2 linked regions of the Arabidopsis thaliana genome follow. The protein of the gene in region 1 interacts with the protein of each later gene in a pairwise test. Each region holds a gene or a part of one and is shown on either strand. Other genes may lie near its edges.

Evidence for each region. The genes of interacting proteins can lie anywhere in the genome.
Region 2: the proteins of AT5G48470 (region 1) and HUB1 interact in binary tests that used the Arabidopsis thaliana proteins (3 or more experiments, as listed by UniProt).

What each region holds. Positions count from the first base shown.
Region 1 is NC_003076.8:19,639,925-19,644,865, forward strand, and holds AT5G48470 (uncharacterized protein), read left to right. Parts: upstream 1-1,819; 5' UTR 1,820-1,885; coding exon 1,886-2,209; intron 2,210-2,546; coding exon 2,547-2,702; intron 2,703-2,924; coding exon 2,925-2,993; intron 2,994-3,090; coding exon 3,091-3,261; intron 3,262-3,343; coding exon 3,344-3,487; intron 3,488-3,581; coding exon 3,582-3,740; intron 3,741-3,852; coding exon 3,853-3,918; intron 3,919-4,018; coding exon 4,019-4,078; intron 4,079-4,158; coding exon 4,159-4,203; 3' UTR 4,204-4,438; downstream 4,439-4,941. Other genes in the region: AT5G48480 (Lactoylglutathione lyase / glyoxalase I family protein), read left to right, coding at 4,890-4,941. UniProt on the Arabidopsis thaliana protein: Plays an essential role in early steps of chloroplast development. May be involved in the redox control of plastid gene expression by maintening the redox state around chloroplast nucleoids.
Region 2 is NC_003071.7:18,542,606-18,550,276, forward strand, and holds the start of HUB1 (histone mono-ubiquitination 1), read right to left. Parts: upstream 6,048-7,671; 5' UTR 5,643-6,047; coding exon 5,526-5,642; intron 5,346-5,525; coding exon 5,184-5,345; intron 5,101-5,183; coding exon 5,022-5,100; intron 4,903-5,021; coding exon 4,675-4,902; intron 4,577-4,674; coding exon 4,415-4,576; intron 3,685-4,414; coding exon 3,491-3,684; intron 3,416-3,490; coding exon 3,332-3,415; intron 3,207-3,331; coding exon 3,087-3,206; intron 2,991-3,086; coding exon 2,804-2,990; intron 2,714-2,803; coding exon 2,553-2,713; intron 2,471-2,552; coding exon 2,399-2,470; intron 2,186-2,398; coding exon 2,109-2,185; intron 1,736-2,108; coding exon 1,541-1,735; intron 1,430-1,540; coding exon 1,357-1,429; intron 1,265-1,356; coding exon 1,178-1,264; intron 1,102-1,177; coding exon of another isoform or gene 1,066-1,101; exon of another isoform or gene 942-1,065; intron 940-941; coding exon 802-939; intron 717-801; coding exon 514-716; intron 420-513; coding exon 254-419; and 2 more. Other genes in the region: AT2G44970 (alpha/beta-Hydrolases superfamily protein), read right to left, coding at 6,394-6,867, 7,050-7,337, 7,418-7,515, 7,601-7,650. UniProt on the Arabidopsis thaliana protein: E3 ubiquitin-protein ligase that monoubiquitinates H2B to form H2BK143ub1. H2BK143ub1 gives a specific tag for epigenetic transcriptional activation and is also prerequisite for H3K4me and maybe H3K79me.

The DNA of each region.
Region 1 (4,941 bases):
GCATTTAAATAAGAGACATATCCTAAATAACCTAGATATTTAGTTATTTTCATTAAAATTTAACATATTTTTGCAAAGTTTAGCCAAAATTTAGTAAAATTAAACTAATTTTTATTTAAATTGAACAATTTTTTAGTGTTTTCTCCCAAAAATCGAGCCTATCTGAACTGTAGATTTATAAAATCCTAACAAATAATAAATTCTCTTAACCGAATTATCTGAATCCAAATAAATATGAATCGAATCCAAACCGTAATTCCAATGTTTAGGCCTAGATAGTCGTATGTCTTTTTGGCCTAATCAACGCATTCTCATATTTCGAACCGCAGATTAACGTTTAGTTCATGTATAAAATGGTCACATGTGAAGTTGATGTATAAAACGGCTATAATTTAAAAGTTGGAGTATTAAATGACATGTTTTCCATTTCGATTATGGTGAAACGACGTCGTTTGGGAACTAACGAAGACTAGTTAATAGTTGTTATCGGGTCTATTAACGCCAAATAACATCGGGTAGATTTTAGTGTGGTTAATAATTAAGTTTATATGAAATGACCGATCAATAATTTTTACATGTATTAAATACCCATATACGAATTTCACGTATTAAATAACTATATTTTAAAAGTTCGCATATTAAACGAACATTTTTCATCTAAAATATTTCACTTGACAAATATTTTTCGTGTCAATATTTTTCGATCAAAGCATTCTGAAGTAATTGCAATGCTTTGATCTACACACATAAAACTCGTTGACAAATCTCCATTATGTTTTAGAAAATTGAGTCAGCAAAAAGTGCATGAGTTGTAGTTAAAGGTTGATCCGATTATACTACAAAATATAACTTTATTGCTCATCTTATTCTACTCTTAAGTCTATAACTATTAATAATCATGTATAAACCACTGTTATAGGTAACGTCTATAATGTTATAAGCATGGACAAAATATTTGATAGCAATAGTGTACTAAAAAGCTACTCCTAAAAGAGGATTAGGAAATAAAGCATGTGCCAGACATAGTGAATGAGAAAGAAAGAGAGATTTTGTAATAATTGAGAAAATATGAAGCAATCCTTTGCCATGCCTACTTTATCTATAGCTTCCTCACTTCAATTAAATTAAATTATATTTGTAATTAAGCGATTATGTTTATATATATACACATTTATACATTGTTTCTCATTTTACCATTTGATAAAAATATTGATATAAATAAATTGAGATCTTTATATGGCATTATAAATAGGATCGCTCAACTTTGTCTAAGTAGGCAATGAACTTAATAAGAATCATAAAACACCATTATATCATTTGGACCCCTCCATGCTTCCTCCACATGGTTGCTGATCTCAACTAGGAAGATTTCCATAATTGAAACCTGATTTTGTGTATCAAACTAAGAATATTAATGATAAAAACTGTAGTTTAATAACTTTTAACAAAAAAAAAAAAAGCTTAATAGGTTTTATCCTTTTGTGCCATTTACCTAGCTTAAAGCTGCAAGTTAAGTAGTGTTATAAAAATAACCAATATTGATAACCGGTATTATTTGACAAACCAATCAATCATTACAAACTTATTATGTAAAGAATTCTTGAAATGGTTTGTTTTTGTTGTAATTTGGGTATATTATTTTGAGATAAAATTTTAAACTTTACATAATAAGCACCAAGCCTTCTTAGCTCAGTGGTAGAGCGCGTGGCTTTTAACCACGTGGTCGTGGGTTCGATCCCCACAGACGGCGCATATATTTCCTAAATTTTTGTCGAATTATTTTTTTCCAATTTATCCCCGTCGTCTTCTTCGATTCTTTATCTTTTTTTCCTTTGCATAAACCCAAAACCTCAAACTTTTTGAATCCGAAACGAGAAAACAAACTATGTTACAGTCCATTCATCTTCGTTTTTCCTCCACACCATCACCTTCTAAAAGAGAATCTCTCATAATTCCATCGGTTATTTGCTCATTTCCTTTCACCTCTTCTTCGTTCCGTCCAAAGCAAACCCAGAAACTGAAGCGTCTGGTTCAATTTTGCGCTCCTTACGAGGTCGGAGGTGGATACACCGATGAAGAATTGTTCGAAAGATACGGAACTCAGCAAAATCAAACTAATGTCAAAGATAAATTAGATCCAGCTGAGTATGAAGCTTTGCTTAAAGGAGGCGAACAAGTGACTTCCGTTCTTGAAGAAATGATTACCCTCGTATGTATTTTGAGTTATCTTTCATCAAAACTTGCTTTTGTTTCGTTTCTCTAAGCTTGGCATTTCGTCGAACAACTTATAGGCATTAAGCTTTATGTTACATGTAATCGTTACTTACTCGTTAGTACGTATTTCTACGTTTCCATAGAGTTATGTTTTCATCTGGGCTTGCTTTAGTGTTGTTTTTTGTAAGCTAGGCTTTTCGTCGAACAACTTAACGGCGTTAGGCTTAGTAGTTTTTGGGGCATATTGTTCACTTTTTAATACATAGAATCGTTACTTGTTTATTAAGGGAATTATTGGTTCCGTAATGGCTTGATATGTCTCTGATGTGTAGTTGGAAGATATGAAGATGAATGAAGCATCTGAGAATGTTGCTGTAGAATTGGCTGCACAAGGAGTTATAGGGAAAAGGGTTGATGAAATGGAATCAGGGTTTATGATGGCTCTTGATTACATGATCCAACTTGCAGACAAAGACCAAGACGAGAAGGTAAACCAATTCTGCATTTTCCCTCTGAATGTACACAAAAATATTTCTAGAATTGACTTGAGTTTTGCTACATAGAACGACCAGGATAGCTAGAATTGCTTTTGCAATGTAGTGTAGCAAATATTACATGTTCTCTGGATTTTATGGCTGTTGTTAGTCTTGCCATTAGTTCTGTAGCATAAGCTGGGACAAAGGATTAAAGAATTTTTGTTTTGGATTCAGAGAAAGTCTTTACTAGAGGTCGTCAAGGAGACTGTCTTATCTCATCTCACCAAGAAATGCCCTCCTCATGTGAGTAATATTAAGATTAGTTTCTTCTTACTTTCTAAATTTTTCATTAGCTTCATTTCATGTTTTTAATTTTGTGTAAGTGTTGCTCCATATTTAGGTCCAGGTGATTGGTTTACTCTGTAGAACCCCGAAAAAGGAAAGTAGACATGAGCTTCTGCGTAGGGTGGCTGCAGGTGGTGGGGCTTTTGAAAGTGAGAACGGTACTAAACTTCATATACCCGGAGCAAATCTGAATGACATAGCTAATCAAGCTGATGACTTGCTAGAGGTACTTGTGTTTGTTTAAGTATAGATATCAATCTGTATTTGAGATAGTTTGAGAATGTGAACAAGTCTGAGGATTTTTGCAGACTATGGAAACAAGGCCAGCTATTCCGGATCGAAAACTACTAGCGAGGCTTGTTTTGATTAGAGAGGAAGCCCGGAACATGATGGGAGGAGGTATACTTGATGAAAGAAATGACCGAGGTTTCACTACTCTTCCTGAATCAGAGGTTTGTGTGACAAACTATTATGTCCATGATGCTGTGTTTGTGAACATTTTTTAAACATTGAGATACAGTGACTTGTTGCTTGATCGTCAAACAGGTGAATTTCTTAGCCAAATTGGTAGCTTTGAAACCTGGAAAGACTGTGCAGCAGATGATCCAGAATGTAATGCAAGGGAAAGATGAAGGCGCAGATAATCTTAGCAAAGAAGACGATTCTTCTACCGAAGGAAGAAAACCAAGTGGATTAAATGGAAGGGTAAGTATGATCAAGTGACACATTGTTTTGTTAAAAGAGAAGACTTTTTCAGTAGGCTCTGAACCAAAGATATGTCTTCTTTTCTTACTTGGCCTACTTGATGCGATCTCAGGGAAGCGTTACAGGAAGAAAACCGTTACCAGTAAGACCAGGAATGTTTCTAGAAACTGTCACAAAGGTATGTTTCCAACATTCCTCGATCCCCTATGTTCAACAGATGATAGTAATAGAGAACATTGACCACTTTTTTATGTGATGTTTAAATCCAATCTTGATAGGTACTGGGAAGTATATACTCGGGTAATGCCTCCGGGATAACAGCACAACATCTAGAATGGGTAAGTTCCTCATAACACCAAAACATTTGCAACCAAAGTCTCGTTTCTTTGCATTCATCATAGTTTATTTCTGTTCACAGGTTCACCAAAAAACCCTCCAAGTTCTTGAAGAAATCGCTTATTAGTAATATCTTTTGTTACATCAAGAAAGACTCGCAGGTAGAGATTGCGTCCTGAAATAATCTTGATCGGTATATAATTTGTAATTTGGTTGGTTGATATGACATATAATGTCTCTCTACTAAACTATGCACATCCATTAAACCTCAAAAGTTACATGTGACGTAAAATAAAATTGGAAAGGGATAGAAGAAAAAAAAGAATAATGGTAGTGATATTAACATATCTTTAAACCCATTCGAAACGGATGGGAAAAAATAAAATCGTAACTTTTGTCCTATGTGTACCATTCAGAGTTACACAATGATAACAAACTAAAATATTTGATGACACAGTATATAACAAAGATTAAAATATTCGAGTAACCAATTTTAATTGATTTCTTTCCAACGGTTTAATAGAGGAGACATGCGAACGAGACACGAGTCCTATAGGGTAGTAAATGAAAAGTGATTAGTAGGGGCATATTCACGTAAATAAATCAAAAAGTAAGGGTAAAAATCCACGGACGTGAGAGCAATTGTTATATCCATTTGAAATCCTCGTCAGGTTACACGAAACGATTCCGCTTCTCCGCTTCCTTCATAAATATCTCACTCATCGTCTCTAGATTGTTCTTTCACACGCAATTTTCATTTCTCTCTTAACCGTAAACGAATCTCTCTTCTCAAAGTTTTATTTTCTCTCTGCGATGGCTCAAGAAGATGTTACTGCTGTTGCTACTAACGGTGCTGGTCCGGTGG
Region 2 (7,671 bases), on another chromosome or scaffold:
ATGTAGATAGGTTTAATATCATTTGGTCCAAAACTTGCTGAGCATGTTGGACACTTCTTTTGTCGAGTTCCTGTGAGCTTTTGCACACATGGGTTGCAGAACAAATGGTAGCACTTCGTAATCACCACCTAGTTTGTTAAGCCAAAGACCAAAACCAATCAGCAATCACGCACGCAGTTGACTAAAAGATTCAAGGGATCATGATTTGAGCGTCTTGCTGAGATCTAAATAATGGAGAGCAGTGACTCTTTACCTCTTTTGGGCGATCGTTGCAGGCCTTACACTTCAGAATTTCTTTAAATTCACTGAGTTCTTGTCGGAGCTTTTGAATGGCCGATGATCCTTCTATGAGAGACCGAAGACGAGAAACTTTCTTTTTGGCTATTTCCATTTCCTCCTCTATCCTTCTCCTATTGAACCTGATATACGCAGAAAAGAACGATACCTTCATCACTAACACTTGTTTATGACTATTAATTAGGATAGAGAAGATGGAGGGAGCAATTGATTTACCTTTCAATCTCCAGTTCCAGTTCTAATGCCCCATAATCCAGCCGACTTTGCTCAACTTTAGAATGGGACTCCTCCAGCCTTGACCTAGCTTGTTCCAAGCCATTCCCGATGTCTGCACGTTTCTTTTGCAGATTTTCAAGAGAAACAGACTTTTGATATTTATCTTCCGCTAGTTTCTGAAACTGATCTGTGCAGAACCTCAACTGCAAGGAAAAAGAAAAACACCTTAGTCAAAGTCTCACAATAAGGAGGCTTACAATTTGAGCATACGGGCACACACAGATATACCTGATCTTCAATTCTTGATGATTTCTTGGATAGGAAACTGGCATATGCACTGCCTTGCTGTATATCCTTATCCATGATGTATTTATCGATAAGCAGAGTATCTTGCATCTGCCTAGAAGTTATGCCTTCCAAGAAAAGCTGAAACAACAATGGGCGAGCAAAAAATTACATCTCATTGTCTGATCCAAGTAACAAACCATCCTTTTTTTCATGATATTCTAGCAAAACATACAAGGTATAACCACAGAAATTGGTCCATGCCCATTAAAACGATCCATCAATCTCTGAATAAATGTAACACTACTAGATATAAGAGTAAGTGAGAAGTCACAGAGATAGATCAGATAGAGGAACTAGAAGAGTTTGGACACGATACCTTGATGTTATAGTCATCCCTCTCTGTAACTTGAAGCAAAAGCTGTTGGTTTTGCGGTACAATGTCCTCATAGGCACTTCCAATTGTCTAAAAGAATATAGTTACTGTAAATCGATACGCAACATCAAGGTTTTTAAAATATGTTAAGAACAAAGAAACACGAAATTTCATAAGCCAACCTGTATTTCAGAAAGATATGTTCCATGTTCTTCATGTTTAGATTTCAAGATATCAGAATGCTTGGCGACATCCCTGAAACAGAAAAGACTTATCCTTGTCAAACAAAAAACTCTCAAAGAATTCCTATGGAAGAACTGCGTGATTGCATCTATAAATTGCAGACTTCTACTTATACTTATTTACCTTTTACAATCATCCATTTTCTGCCTTAAATCAGCAATCTCTGCTTCCGCAGCAGCCAACATTTGTTGGGAAACGGCTTCAGCTTCATTTGCTGCCTTAACGCGCAACTCCAGATTTTGCTCATCAAGGGATGATTTCAAACTCTGAACATGAGCCCAAGCCCTGTACTCCTGTTCCTTGGCTTCAGCTATGTCCCTGCCATAGCACATTATCGACAGTGATGCTTAAGGCAATATACCAACCGCATTATAATAATGTGTTCAGTCAAGATAAGAAGATAAACAAATCCTAACACATCCAAAAGAGTTTTTATCAGATGGAACTGTAAAAATAGATCAGATATTAAAAGCTGTCATGGATAAATTGAAAATGTGAACATAAGTTTCTTCAGAAACGCAAGAAAAATTAACAACAAACTTTCAGCAAGATTCGATAGTTCAGTCAGAAGGCAAGATTAATAACAGCACTTGTTGTTATACTATATATTTGGACAGTGAGAAGGGGAAGATAAGGAAACTTTTCTCTAAGAATTGAAATCTTAGATATCGTTATATATAGTTGTGCTTACCTCGCATCAGTGGACTCACGTTTATACATGTCCAGAAACAACTTTAACTCCTCATGACTGTTCTTCAAATCACAAACCTGCATGACAGACTCCAATCAATTGAAAGTAAAGAACATAACAACTACCACTTTGCCAACCAAAGACATTTAACAAGATTTAAATTGCTAATCCGCCTTTTCACTATACTTTTTCCAAGAAATAATGCAAAGTAACAATAACCAATATGAACACTGTCAACATATATAAGTCATGGGCAGTACACTGAAAAAGGTAGATACATTGCATCATACCGTAGCATTCAGGTCACCTAACTGAGAAGCATAATCAGCTGATCTCAATTGCAATGCTTCATACTCTTTTGTCTGTTCACCAATTAAGCTTATTAAGTAAGCATAACATAAACTGTAACAATAAGCATCAATCACTGTTCACATTATTTCCCACCTTCCTACATAGAACCCCAGAGAGGGACTGGACATCAGCCCGCAGAGAATGAATACCTCCAGCAGTCTCTTTATAATTGTTTAATTGACTACGCATGGAACTCATTTCCTCGGGGAACGAAGAAATTAATGCCTTCATATCTGCAAAGATTTCTTTTCTACCTGACATACGAATAACTTAATCAGACTCCAAAGTGAAACAGGTGTGGGTGGGAGATACAGAATTGGAAGTCAAAGTAATCAATTTGTGACCTCGCTCTCTTGATATATTTCCCAGCCTAGTCTTGATTCGCATTTTTTCATCCAGTTGTTTCTGTATCTCCGAATCCAAAGAAGCCATTCTAGAATCAGTAACAGCAGACGTCTTTCGAGAAACATCACCTAGTTCATTTTTTATATTTATCTCCCTTTCCTTCCAGACTATACTATCTTTTTCAACCTGAAATTTTCGAATGGAGGAAAGCTTCACAACTAAATATACAACGTAAATTTTATAAACATAGATACAAAATGAAAATCGCAAACCAGATATAACCTGCAGTTTCTCAAGTAAAGCCATATACTGGAAAACTGCTTCTTTGGATTTTTCTAGCTGGTCTTTCAAAGAAAGGCAGGCTTGAGAAGATGAGATGCACCTCACAGACTTTGACTTGTTCTGTTAGAAAACTCTTACATCAGTTTTAGCAATAGGAAGAGGCTACCATTCCACAAATTTTCATATATCAAACCCCATACAGAGACAAACTAATACAAATACCCCAATTGGATCAATACACTGACCTGTAAATTACTCATTTTTCCAAGCATCTTTGTCCTCTCCTCATGAAGATTTTTTAGCTGTTGTAGCCTGCCTGAAGCCAGGACCTACCGAAACCAGGCCGTTATCAACCCAAAACTTAAAGAATTACCAATGAAAACAAATCAGAAAAACAAAGATACCGTTAACTCTTTCAGAACTGTTTCCATGTCTTGCAGATCCCTTTGTTTATCCCTCTCCCGATCACTGGTAGCAAGCTTATTTCCAAGACTCAACACTGGGAAAAACGCCCCAGCTGTTGCATCCCTTTCTGCTCTCAATGCTGACAAGTCACCATTACACTGCTGAAGCTCCACAACCTCATCCTCTAGCTCCCCTTCGAATAGACCAAATAAAGTATAATATCAGTTGATGCGGTAGTCAAGAAGCATTAATCCAAAAGCAGGCATGTAAACTAAAATAAATTTTAACTCTTTGAATTTCTTAACTGTGGCTACTGTCAGTATTGAAATCTTACATCTTAAGGTAAACGGGTAATTTATCAACAAAATTAAGATGCTTCACTTATGTGGATGTATGTCATTCTCAAAGAATTACCAGCTTCTCTATCTCCTAAAATCTACCGAAATATATAAATATGGGTAAATGGTATAAAAGAAAACTAAGAAGTTCATGTCTCAGAAGGGTTTTGTACACCCATCAGTTCGCTAATGAGTATATCTTCCACAGCTACATGTCTTCTTAACAGCTGGCTCTACCATAGAGGTTTTCTTCCAGTCTTAATGTATCTCTCTCTTCAATCTTAATCTCTATGATCTAAATCCAATCATGGCTATTAAACAACTGAGTAGTGCTGGACATAAATACACAGGCGTGGAATTGGAAGATTCACAATTTGATCACCTCTACTTACACTTATCCTCATCAATCAAAAGCGAGATATGATTTCAGTAGCTTTTCATGTATATAGGACCTTTTTTTGTCAAGCCACGTATATGATTACAAATTTACATTTGATGCATGAATACTATATCCATATAAACAATGCCAATTAAAAAATCCATTTTAACAGTATATAGTCGAGTGAGACGAGACTAAGTAGCTACCTCTTATTCGTTTGAGGTCTACTCTAACTTTAGCATCAGCATCGCGATGACTCTGCAATTCTCTAGAAAGTGATTTGAACTTCACAAGTACATCATCTAGATCCCCTCTGAAACTTTTAATTTCTGATTCCAACTCACTCAGAGCTAGCTGACCGCACAAATCTAGAAAAGAAAGCAATTCCACATAGGACCTGGGTTAATACTAAAATGTTATAAAGGCCATAACAAGAGCTGACAATTGATCGCAGTGGAAGTCATACCTTTACCAAGATTGGTTCTGAGAACTGTGGGATATAATTCATCCTTCAGACACCTCAAATCCTCTGTCGCGGCTACTAGATTATACAAGGTTTGCGTCATCTGGCTTGACGTATTCACTCCATTTTCTTCCATCTGATTCGAGCAGATATTGGATGAGGAGCTCTCAGTAGCACCAGTTTCAAGTAGCCGGTTGATGAAATCGTTTTTCACGGCTGGAGAAGACCCATCTGTGTAGCAATTTAAAGTTAACCTTTCAAAAAGTCATATTTGTAACATATAAAACCAAATCTAAACTAGATCCTAGCACTAACAGAACGAAGAAAAGGCGGGCTTAAGTTGTTCATACCCTCCTTGTTTACAAACCTATGAGCTCCGCTGCTTGAATCACTCACACGAACAGAGCATGATTCCACTGAAGCTGTAAGCTGCTATACAAGCATTAATTAGTTCTCTAGAAAAAGAGATCTAATCCAAGTTCTATTAGAATCGAAAGCAAATTCAGTGTTACCTTTTCCCAAGACTTATGGACAGTCTTCAAACTGGAGTTGTATGGTAATTGTTTTTCCTTGATCTGAGAGAGTTTATCCTCAAGAATAGAACACTCAACCTGCTGAGCCTCTAGCTTTTGTGATAGCTTAAGATTTTGGAACTGAAGAACTGCAGTATCAAGCTGTATCAAACGAAAACAAACTCCTTAAGAGAGAGAATCCCAATTCCAAAATAGACCAAATTCGAGACAAAAGACATTCAGTATATGAATCTCTAATAGCTGGAAAGCTATGATTGATTGGATAAGTAAGAGAATAGATGTAAAGGGCATGCACAAGGGGGAGATGAAGAAGAAAGAAACCTTGTCCTCGGAGGAGGGCCAAAAGAAAGGCTGTTTCTTTACGGCGGCTGCAGCTTCAGAAGGTGATATGGAGCTAAAGTGACGCCTTTTACGGTCAGGCTCGCCTGTGCTCGCCATTGAAAAACCCTAGAATCGCCAATTAACAGGATTAAGCCTTGTCTCACATCACCATCAGATTGAGTTTGAGGAAGCTCGAATACAAATCCCCCAAACCCAATGAGAAAACCCTAAACGATCCAAAGCTACGTGATTGCTTTAACCGAGGTAATTCCAATTGCTCCGCAGCTCTCCTTCGGAATAAAAAAAAACAAACAAAAAGAAACCCTAATCTCACAGGTCTTCCAAATTCGATCAGACTCTAATGCTATCAAACGCAAACAGACTTTGTCTGATCTTTGTGCGACTTAGATATTACAAACCGAGAACACACACAGCACTCACAGAAACAAAAACAAGAGTGAAAAGAAAGAGAGAGAGAAGAGAGAGTTGAAGTTAATTCGAGTACGATGGCGTAATTTTGTGAACATCTGGAGGGCACTTTCGGGAATTACATATTCCACTTACAGTATATAAGCATCGGCCGTCCATAGAATCTCCAACGATCCGAGCCGCACGATCACGGTTCGTTAAAGGAATAGAGAGAAAAACATAACTAATCTTCTAATAAAAATTAATCAACAATAAAAGAAAAAAAAAGAAGCAAATTAAGTAGTCTTATAAATATAAAATCTACCGTTTGTAATAATTTTTTTGTTATCGTGTGATTCAAACCTGATAGTAAATTAGTAAGAAATAAAACAAAAAGATAGAAACAAATACAGTAATTTGAAGTCTCAAGACGAAAGTAGAAATAAAACAATTTGGTTTATCAATCGATTTTTGTTGCGAGTTTTTGTTGCCTCTCTTGCTCAACTTGGACAAGCAAAGTTAAGAGCGCTTCACAAACTTGAGCAGCATCAGCTTCTAAAGGAACCTCGTTCAAGGAAGAGTACACCATCCAGGCATGGTCTAGTTTACGTTTGGGTCTAACAACCACAGAACCAGGAACCTCTGCGTCACAGCAAGTCACTAGCCCGTCACTCTTTTCACCGTATCTGACTTGAAGTAGCTGAGCGCAAGCAGCCATTGCAGCACCAAGTGGCATTACCACTGGCAGTTTTGCGGCTTGGTTTGTCAGAGGAAGTTCAGCGTGTGCTACGTGTGATAAAGTGGATAGAACCGCTGGGCTAATGCTAGCTTCTGTGCGGAATGAAACCGTGGGGAGTTCTCGGGGAAGCGGATGATTCTTCAAGAATTCTTTTCTTCTCTCGTATGTTAAATCTTCCAATGCTTGAATGTCACCCTTCACAATGTTCCAAGGAATTCATCAGAAAGATCAGCAGAGCAATAGAATCCAGAAACAAAATAAGTTTTGGTTTATCCCTAGTTTCTCGGTTCCACCTAACTAAGGATTTTAACAGGCAATCACAAGAAGCTGATATAATGCAACTGAAATGACTTTGTTAGATCAGGAATGTTGCAAACCTTTATGACTTTGGAGATTAGAATCTCCATCATCTTTCTCAAATTGACGTAATCACCTAGTTGTCCTTCACGGAGGATATCTGTAGCTATTGGGCTTCCACCATATGGACTCTGCGCCAGTACCAACCCAGCGACCTTATCCTTTAGTTCAGGCCAGTATAGTGATAAAGCAGCAGCTGCATCTATGCCTCCTTTGCTATGCCCAAGAAGTAGAACCCGCTTATTAGATCCCCAACAGAGTTCCTCTATGTATTCCTTTATCTCTCTCGCATTTTTCTCAACCGAGGACTGATATATAAACATTTCTCCATATATTAGTATGCTATACACCAAATGTAACTGTACTAAGTTGAGTTAGTTATGATTACCTCGCTGTGAATCTTCGCAATATGACACGCCAAACCCATCTTTGAGAATTTCGTTTTCGTATCCACAAAATATAGAGGTCCATGATTGCTGAAAAGACCTAAAAAAAATTCAACTAATTTTGAGAGTCCTAATATACAGTAATGTAGTTTAAGTGGCTGGCAGCAAAGAATAAGAATTGCTACCTGGAACCAATAAGTACACCACTGTATTTGGAAGCCTGTGTACACCATGCCTGGATATAAAAACCAGATCA